2 linked regions of the Ovis aries genome follow. The protein of the gene in region 2 interacts with the protein of the main gene of each other region in a biochemical or structural test. Links are inferred from orthologs where the notes say so. Each region holds a gene or a part of one and is shown on either strand. Other genes may lie near its edges.

Region 1 (4,392 bases), on a different chromosome or scaffold from region 2:
TCCTGTAAGTGGCGGGCCACTCTGGGTCCAAGCCAGTGTCCTTTTGATTGTCCCCACTGCCTATTCTTCCCCACAAATAGTGAGAGCAATAATACTAAGTGGCTATAGTTGTCTTGTGGCCTAAAGAGCATTTGTTGTTGTTTTAGTCGCTCGGTTGTGTCTGACATTTTTTGCGATCCTGTGGCCGGTAGCCCGCCAGGCTCTGTCCATGGGACTCTCCAGGCAAGAATACTGGAGTGGGTTGCCATTCCCTTCTCCAGGGGATCTTCCCGACCTAAGGATGGAACCCACGTCTCCTGCATTGCAGGTGGATTCTTTCACTGCTGAGCCACTGTGGAAGCTCAGGTATTCTTGCCTAGGAAATCCCATGGACAGAGGAGCCTGGCGGGCTACAGGCCACGGGGCGCAAAAGAACCAGACACACCGCTTAGCGGCTGAACCCACAGGCATGCCAGAGTCTCCGGTGGGGGTCAGACATCCGGGATGACACCAGCTCCCATCTTCCCCGTCCTGGGCTACATCTGAAGGGTACAGCCCTCCTGGATAGAGGGACCAGTGAGGCATCCCTGGGGCCAGAGGTGAAGACAACCCTGAGGGGAGACTGAGCAAGGACGCCCCTCTGGTCCCAGCACAGTTTGAATGCGTTCATTCTATTAAATTTTTAGGCCCTCGGCGCCTGGGAGGTGGGCGCTGCCATTCTGCCAAGTTCTAGGCGGGAGGGACTCTTGGGGGTCCGCTAGTTCCCGCGGGGTGGGCCTGGGGGGCGGGCTCACCCGGAAGAGCAGCAGCGTTCCAGGCACCACGGCGCAGATGAGGAGGATGATGCCCTCAGCGGTGATGATGTTGTTCTTGGTGCCCTCCCCCATGTCCAGGAAGGGCCTGGGGAGCGGCTCTGTGAGGAGGGAATACGGCTCAGAGCCCCACCTTGCCGCTGGCCACGCCCCTAGGCCACGCCCCCTCCAGCGAGGCCCAAGACCCTGGAAGCCGCTCCCGCTTTGCAGGTGAGAAGACTGGCCGCTGCGTGAGAGCCGGAGACCCAGGATGCCCGAGATGCAGGCGATGCCGGCACGGGCTCCATCCCGCCTTCCCGACGGATGGACGGGATGGACACTCACCTCGCACGCGGAGGTACGTCCCGCAGGAGCGCTGTATCTTCTTGCCGTCACTGACTTCGCACCTATACATGCCCCTGTGGCTCTTGTTCACTTGCTTGAAGATCAGCTCGCCCCCGGCACCCAGGCTCCCGCGATGCATCACAGGGGGCCATGAGGAGTTGCCTTGGGGGACGCGCCACCACGTGACGTTGGTGTTGCTGCCGTTGTGCATGCACTGGAGGCGCACCTCCTCCCCCACGCTCACCGTCACCGAGGGTGGGCCCCACTCCACCCACAGGGCCTGGCACCCGGGGCCTGCAGAGAGGAGGCAGGCGGGTTGGAGACAGCCAACGGGGACACTGACCCAGCGCGGCCCCTGGTAGCTGCAGGGCTCCTGGCTGCGTGTGTGTATGTGTATGTGGGGTGGGGTGTGGGGAAGTGTGAGTGACACACCCAGAGTGGAGGGGGGGCTGGGAGGTGTCCCCACTTGCCCCTCCAGAGCCACCTCCTCCCTCTGCCCCCTGCTCTGTGCTTCTACCCCCTCTGAGCTCGCTGGCACTTGAATAGGCAGTTCCCTAGGACTAGCAGTGCCCCAGGCCAGGAAGCTCCTTACAAAATCAGTTTGGGCATCACCTCCTCCTGAAGGCCCTCCTGGATTATTTTCTCACCCAGCCCCTGCCTGGCTCCACACTGGCACTTTACTTTGTGTAATTATCACAGAACCCATAGGAATCGGTTCTGTCATAACCCATTCTACCAGTGGGCCAGCTGCGACCCACAGCAGCAGGCGTCCCTTGGCCCTGGGCCTCTTCTCGCCAGTTTGTGAGCCTGCCCTGCCCTGTGACCCTGGGTCCGGCCCTCATTCTCCTTGGCTTGCTTGTGTCATGCTGGGGGCCAGGGGTGAGGTCAGGGACTGGGCTGAGCTGGCTGGTTAGGGCTGGGAGGGCCTCAGCTGGGTCGAAGGAGATGGGGCGGCCCAGGCACGGGGGAAGGCCCAGTTCTGTGCCCCTCCTCCTGGGCCAGTCCGCATGGCTGGCTCTGCCTCTTTTGGAGGGAGGAGGGGAGAGGTGGGGAAGAGAGAAGAAGGAAGAAGTGGGGTAAGAGACAGCAACCTGAGGAGTCACTCCAATCTCAGCTCCCAGTGGAAATTTGGGGTGACTGGATGCCTCTCTCAACTCCTTGGTCAAACAGGGTGGTCACAGCCCTGCCAGCTGGCATTGTGTGGGAGGGCAAGGGGGAAGGTCACTTGCTCCCCCAGCACTGAGAAGGGGGTTCCCTAAGTAGGGGGTGAAGACTAGGATTCAAGGCAGAAAAGGAGAAAGATTTTTCTCCCCCTTGAAGCTGACTGCTACCCACCACCGTCCCCTCCCTGCCCCCAGCTCTGGAGCTCAGTCAGTCAAGGGCAACCTTAGTTCCTTATTTTGATCAGGGGGGATGAGCGGCTGGGGAAGGTGTCTCCTGCCCCTGCCTCCCTCCACCGGGCCAGGACGCACCTTCAACTTCGCTGAGCCCCCTCCAGCCTCCCACCGGCCTGTTTGAGACAATCAAGCAGACAGATGCAGTTTCTACAGGGTCTTTTCTAGCCTGCCTCCTGCCAGCTCCTCTCCCTCCCCCTCTGCCTGGGGCCCCTCTCAACAGTCTCCCAGTTCCCACTACCGCCTCCCCCAGCACCTGCCTGCTAACCACATACCCAGGCCAGCAGCGGAGATCAGGAGGAGAAAGATGGTGGCAGGTGAGCTTTGCAGGGCTTGGGGACCCTCAGGCATCTTCTCCCAGTGGGTTGGTTAGTCTGGGTTGCAGCAGTCCTGGGGTACCAGATCCCACCTCGCTGAGCCCCAAACCCCGCCCCACTTCCTGCCCGGCCCTGCGGAGACGGGCTTCACTGGCCCCACTGCTGGGCCCTTTGGCTGGCGGGCGAGGGGGAAGCCCCTGGTGGGGGAGGCTTCAGGCCGTGAGTGGAGAGGAACCGCTTCTTGCACCTGTGGCCACCACAACTCCCCTGAGAGGAGGCTGCTTGGGTGGGGGGAAGAGATTGGTTCAAGGCCTGGCTCGTCACTGGAAAGGAAACCCGCCCTGCTCGAGGGAGCCAGGGTTTGGGGGGCCTGCTGCACACAGGCAGTCAAGGGTGGTGGTGGTTCCAAGCTTGGTCTTTGCCTCTCATTGGCCTCGGGCAAAACTTGTCCCCTCTCCGAGCCTGTGTCCTCACTTCTTTTTTTTTAGATACTTATTAATTTATTTGGTTGCATTGGGTCTTAGTCGCAGCATATGAGATCTTTGCTGTGTCATGCGGGATCTTTCGTTGGGGCACACAGATTCTCTAGTTGTGGCCATGGGCTTATTGCCTTATGGCACGCGGGATCTTAGTTTCCTGACCAGGGCTCAAACCCACGTCCCCTGCCTTGCAGGGCGGCTTCTTAACCATTGGAGCATGGGGAGTCCCTAAGCCTCTGTGTCCTCCCTTCTTGGGGTTGGAAAAGAGAATTTCTCCAACAAAAGAGGTTGTACATGCACAGCGCTGAACACAGGACCCCGGCACGTGGATAGGTGCTCAGTAAAGGTCGGTTATTATTAATGCTTATGAGGAATAAGGGCTTCCCTGGTGGCTCAGTGGTAAAGAATCCACCTGCCAATGCAGGAGACAAGGGTTCAATCCCATGCACACACACATATAAGGAGATGCGGGAAGAACCCCTGGAGAAGGGAACGGCTACTCATTCCAGTATTCTTGCCTGGAGAAGTCCATGGACAGAGGGGCCTGGTGGGCTATAGTCCACGGGGTCCCAAAGAGTCAGACACGACTGAGCGACTAACATACACACAGGAGGAATAGATGAGGCAGGCTCACCAACTCTGTGCCTGCGTGATGGCTTTCCTTTCTGAGGTTCGGCATTTAAAAATATATATATGTATCATTTTATGTGGCAGCGCAGGGTCTTAATTGCGACACGTGAACTCTCGTAAGTTGTGGCATGTGGGTTTTAGTTCCCTGATCAGGGATTGAACCTGGGCCTCCTGCATTGGGAGCATGGAGTCTTAGCCACTGGACCACCAGGGAAGTCCCTGAGGTTCAGCATTTTTAATCTAAGAGATGAGGATGAAAATATCTCCCTGGTGCTGTGACTTAAGATGATATTCCTGACATCCAAGGACCACAGTGGGCTCTTTCCTGGTGTTCTTTCATTTCAGCCACTTACCGCCCCCAACCCCCACCATTTTAAAGGGGGGAAACTAAGGCCATCACAGAGGGGGCGCCATCTGCCACTTGCCCAGTGTTACACTCTGGTGGCGGAGCAGGGAT
Region 2 (3,808 bases):
CATGTAGCACCTGGGCTCTAGCATCTCATGATCTGGGTCCAAATGCTGGCTCTAGCATATAGCTCTTTGACCTTGGACAAGTTCTTCAACCCCTCGTCACCTCATCTGTACCATTTCCTCCTCTGTAATGGGGGTGATACTAGCATGCACTTCATAGGGTTGCTCTGAGGGTGTGATGAGATAATACACACAGAGGGCTCAGATCACCAGCCGATACACAGTGCTTGTCAAGTGCTAGACCCTCCTGTCATTACAGGGCAGTTGCTCCTCCACCCCTCGCCCCAACTCTCTGCTCAGCCTGTAACCCATATTTTGCCTGTAACCTGTATGGCAGAGCTACACACTTTTATTTGTGCTTGTATTTGACTTCTTCCTTTCCTATCTAATGTCTTGGCCAGATCTTAATGTTGTCTTCTATTTCTTTTTTAACTCTTCCTCATCTTGATTGTCCATCTCCTCATTCCAGAATGTATCTCCTCCAGTCGTCCCCTTTCCCCGCTGGTTCAGACTTGCCTGAGCCACCACCAAAAAGCTGTTATTAGCAAAACTCGGCCTATCCCCACTGGGGTCCACCTGCAGTTATTCACAGAAATGGAGAGCCTCACGTAACTCACAGTCTTCATTTGTATTCTGTGTCTGAGTTGGTATCTTCCTATAGACCCTCTGAATGCTGGAAGAATTCACAGTGAGACCCTAACCGATGGTCTCCCTACCGTGTCCCATGCTCAGATTCTCCTTGCCACCTGTTCACACCCTGAAAGGGCATCATCCCCTCGGACTGACAGACAGACTGAGGATTGACAAACCAAATTCATTCTCAGTCTGCTGACCTCCTGACTTAAACTGTCCCTGGAGAGGGGGCTCATAAGCTCAAGTGCTTACAGGCAGGCACGGAATAGCAACTGGGCGTGTGCAGAGTCAGGCTGTGTCCACGCCTTGTGTCAGTGGTGAAGATGATGACAAACGGAAACAGGGGCCGGGGATTCTCAGCTGAGCTGGAAGGGTGCCATGAGGCTCAGCTGCTTCGAGGCCATGACTGGCCATGTGTTGACAGGCCCTTGGTTTTCAGGAGAAACTAGAAAAGTAGATTTTATAAAGAATCTAGAATATGGTAGAAAGGAATCCAGTTTATGCAATACATAGAATGTTTCTTTGTGTGAGACACTGAATTAAGTATTTATATTCCTTTCTTAAATCTTTAAAGGAACCTGAAGAGATGAAAAGATGAGACTCAGAGAGATTATCTGATACCTGCTGCTGCTGCTGCTGCTGCTAAGTCGCTTCAGTCATGTCCAACTCTGTGCGACCCCATAGACAGCAGCCCACTGGGCTCCTCCGTCCCTGGGATTCTCCAGGCAAGAATACTGGAGTGGGTTGCCATTTCCTTCTCCAATGCATGAAAGTGAAAGTGAAGTCGCTCAGTCGTGTCCAACCCTCAGCGACCCCATGGACTGTAGCCTTCCAGGCTCCTCCATCCATGGAATTTTCCAGGCAAGAGTACTGGAGTGGGTTGCCATTGCCTTCTCCATCTGATACCTAAAGTCACACAACTAGTAAATGTGAAGTGGGAATTTGGGCCTGGATGCTGCCTCTATTTTATTTTAAAAGTCTCTCTTTTATGTCTCCTGTTGGGCTACAAATTATGCTAAGGTGGAAAAGAAGGTCATTTCACAGCATGTTTGTAAGCTATAGGTTTTATCACCCATAGGCATTTAGAAACAGTTGCTTCTTCAAGAAGCTGCGGTACCATTATGTCTGGTGATGGTTAAGAGTTGCCTTTAATGTTGTTTTCTTTCTTAGCCTGTTGCACTTGTGTATTCAGTCGCTCAGTCATGTACGACTCTTTGCGACTTCATGGACTGTAGCCCGCTAGGCTCCTCCGTCCATGGGATTTCCCAGGCAAGAATCCGGGAGCGAGTTGCCATTTCCTACTCCAGGGGATCTTCCTGACCCAGGGATCAGACCCACATCTCCTGCATTGGCAGGCGAATTCTTTACCACTGAGCCACCTGGGAAGCCCATTGCACTTGTACAAATGTTCTAAAGGCTAAGTTTGAGGGCTTGTCTTTGACTTTCTTTAAATGCAGTACTTCTGGGAGCCATAACGTATTAGGCTTTATCAGTCATTCTTACAATAGTCCGAATAAGTTCACCCATTCATTTTTTAAAATTTCATAGGGAATAAGACATGAAAAATTTAGGTGCTGGCAGAAGGGATATTGGTAAGATAAACCTAGAAATGGGTCCCAGACAGTTGGCAAAGGAGGTTCCTGGATACCTGGGGCTGGGGAGAGAGAGAGAGAAGCAAGAGATGCCGAAGGAAGTGCGGGGTCAGTTCTTCCACGGGTTGTGCAGGGTCTCCATACAGACAGGGGGTCTCCAGTATACATCCTGTTGCACCCCTCTGCAGCTTAGAGGATCAGAGAGAAAAGAAAGTGGGGGAAAGAACATGAGGCAGGACAGGGAGAGAAGCATGGGAGGATAAAGGTGGGGAAGTATCTTATGGAGGAATGAGAGATTTGCAGGAAACGGAGGGATAAGAAAGAGGAAATAGTGAGAGGGGCACAAATCCAGGTTGGATATTACATCATATACCTGATTAGTACATGAAAGTGCTTAAATAAGGCCATATGTGACATTTTAAGAGAAAACATCCTTTCAGCAGGACAGTGGAGAGTTTCAGGGCAGGTGGTTAGGGCCGGTCAGAGACCCAAGCCTGGAGGAAGGAAGACACATCTGAGGCTACACTGTCCTGCCCCTCCCCTCATCTGGCCCCTGCGTCCAGCCTTCCCCGTGGTCTGGGCAGCCTTCCCCGGACAGATTTACTTTACCTCATCCTCAAGGATCTCTTTGGGTTTGGGTGGGACTTGAGGTTTATGCAGTGAAGTGTTGGCCGGCAGAGAGGTGGCCAGTCTCGCTTTTGCCGAAGGCCAGTTGGGTTTACTGGGAAGAGTCTTGCTGAAGGGTGGAGACTGCCTCTGGCTTGATCGGTTGTCTTGAGAGGAACAGCAAGAACAACAAAACATAAGATGAAAGGGTTCTGGATCATTTCTTGGGCAGAAGCCACCGAGTTCTAGAAAGTAGAAAACTACCAGCATCCATGTAGCCAACATGCTCTTGACTGGGGCATTCCTTTAAAAAGTATGACAGGCAACAATTTCAACAACCCATTGACCTACATTATAAAAACCAGAACAGTATCCTCCCAGGGAGCCATGAAACCCACAGACCCAGGAGAGCTGATAGTCCAAGCATGCGGCTAAATAGAGTAGATGGTGACCTTGGCAGTGTCGGGGGCTAAGGGGAGCAGTAATCCTCAGTGGGTTCACTTTGCTCCCTGAAGCCTTAAGTGTGATGATTCTCAATCCTGCTTACACATAGGAGCCACCTGTGAAAGTGAATGTGTTAGTTGCTAAGTCATGTCTGACTCTTTGTAACTCCATGGACTCTATCTGCCAGGCTCCTCCATCCATAGAATTTTTCCAGACAAGAATACTGGAGTGGATTGCCATTTCCTTCTCCGGGGGACCTTCCTGACTCAGGAATCCAACCTGGGTCTCCCACATTGCAGGCAGACTCTTTACCATATGAGCTACAAGGGAAGCCCCTAGGAACCACCTAGGAGCTTTAAAAAAAATGCCAAGGCCCCACCGCAAACATGCAGTTTAAAACTTCTAGGGAAGGACCTTTCATTATAGGTTTAAAAAGTTCCCCAGGTTATTCTAAGGTATATGCAGGGTTGCAACTACTCATCTGGTAAAACTACACATTCCTCCCCTCAATGGTTTCCTTGAATGGGAGGGGGAGG

Evidence for each region.
Region 1: the proteins of BLNK (region 2) and CD79A form a complex in vitro, tested with the Homo sapiens proteins (2 studies listed by BioGRID). The link is inferred for Ovis aries from reciprocal best matches to the Homo sapiens genes BLNK and CD79A.

The regions. Positions count from the first base shown.
Region 1 is NC_056067.1:50,930,227-50,934,618, forward strand, and holds the start of CD79A (B-cell antigen receptor complex-associated protein alpha chain), read right to left. Parts: upstream 2,886-4,392; 5' UTR 2,861-2,885; coding exon 2,785-2,860; intron 1,410-2,784; coding exon 1,116-1,409; intron 893-1,115; coding exon 774-892; intron 1-773. UniProt on the Homo sapiens protein: Required in cooperation with CD79B for initiation of the signal transduction cascade activated by binding of antigen to the B-cell antigen receptor complex (BCR) which leads to internalization of the complex, trafficking to late endosomes and antigen presentation.
Region 2 is NC_056075.1:17,382,493-17,386,300, forward strand, and holds part of BLNK (B-cell linker protein), read right to left. Parts: intron 2,996-3,808; coding exon 2,832-2,995; intron 1-2,831. UniProt on the Homo sapiens protein: Functions as a central linker protein, downstream of the B-cell receptor (BCR), bridging the SYK kinase to a multitude of signaling pathways and regulating biological outcomes of B-cell function and development.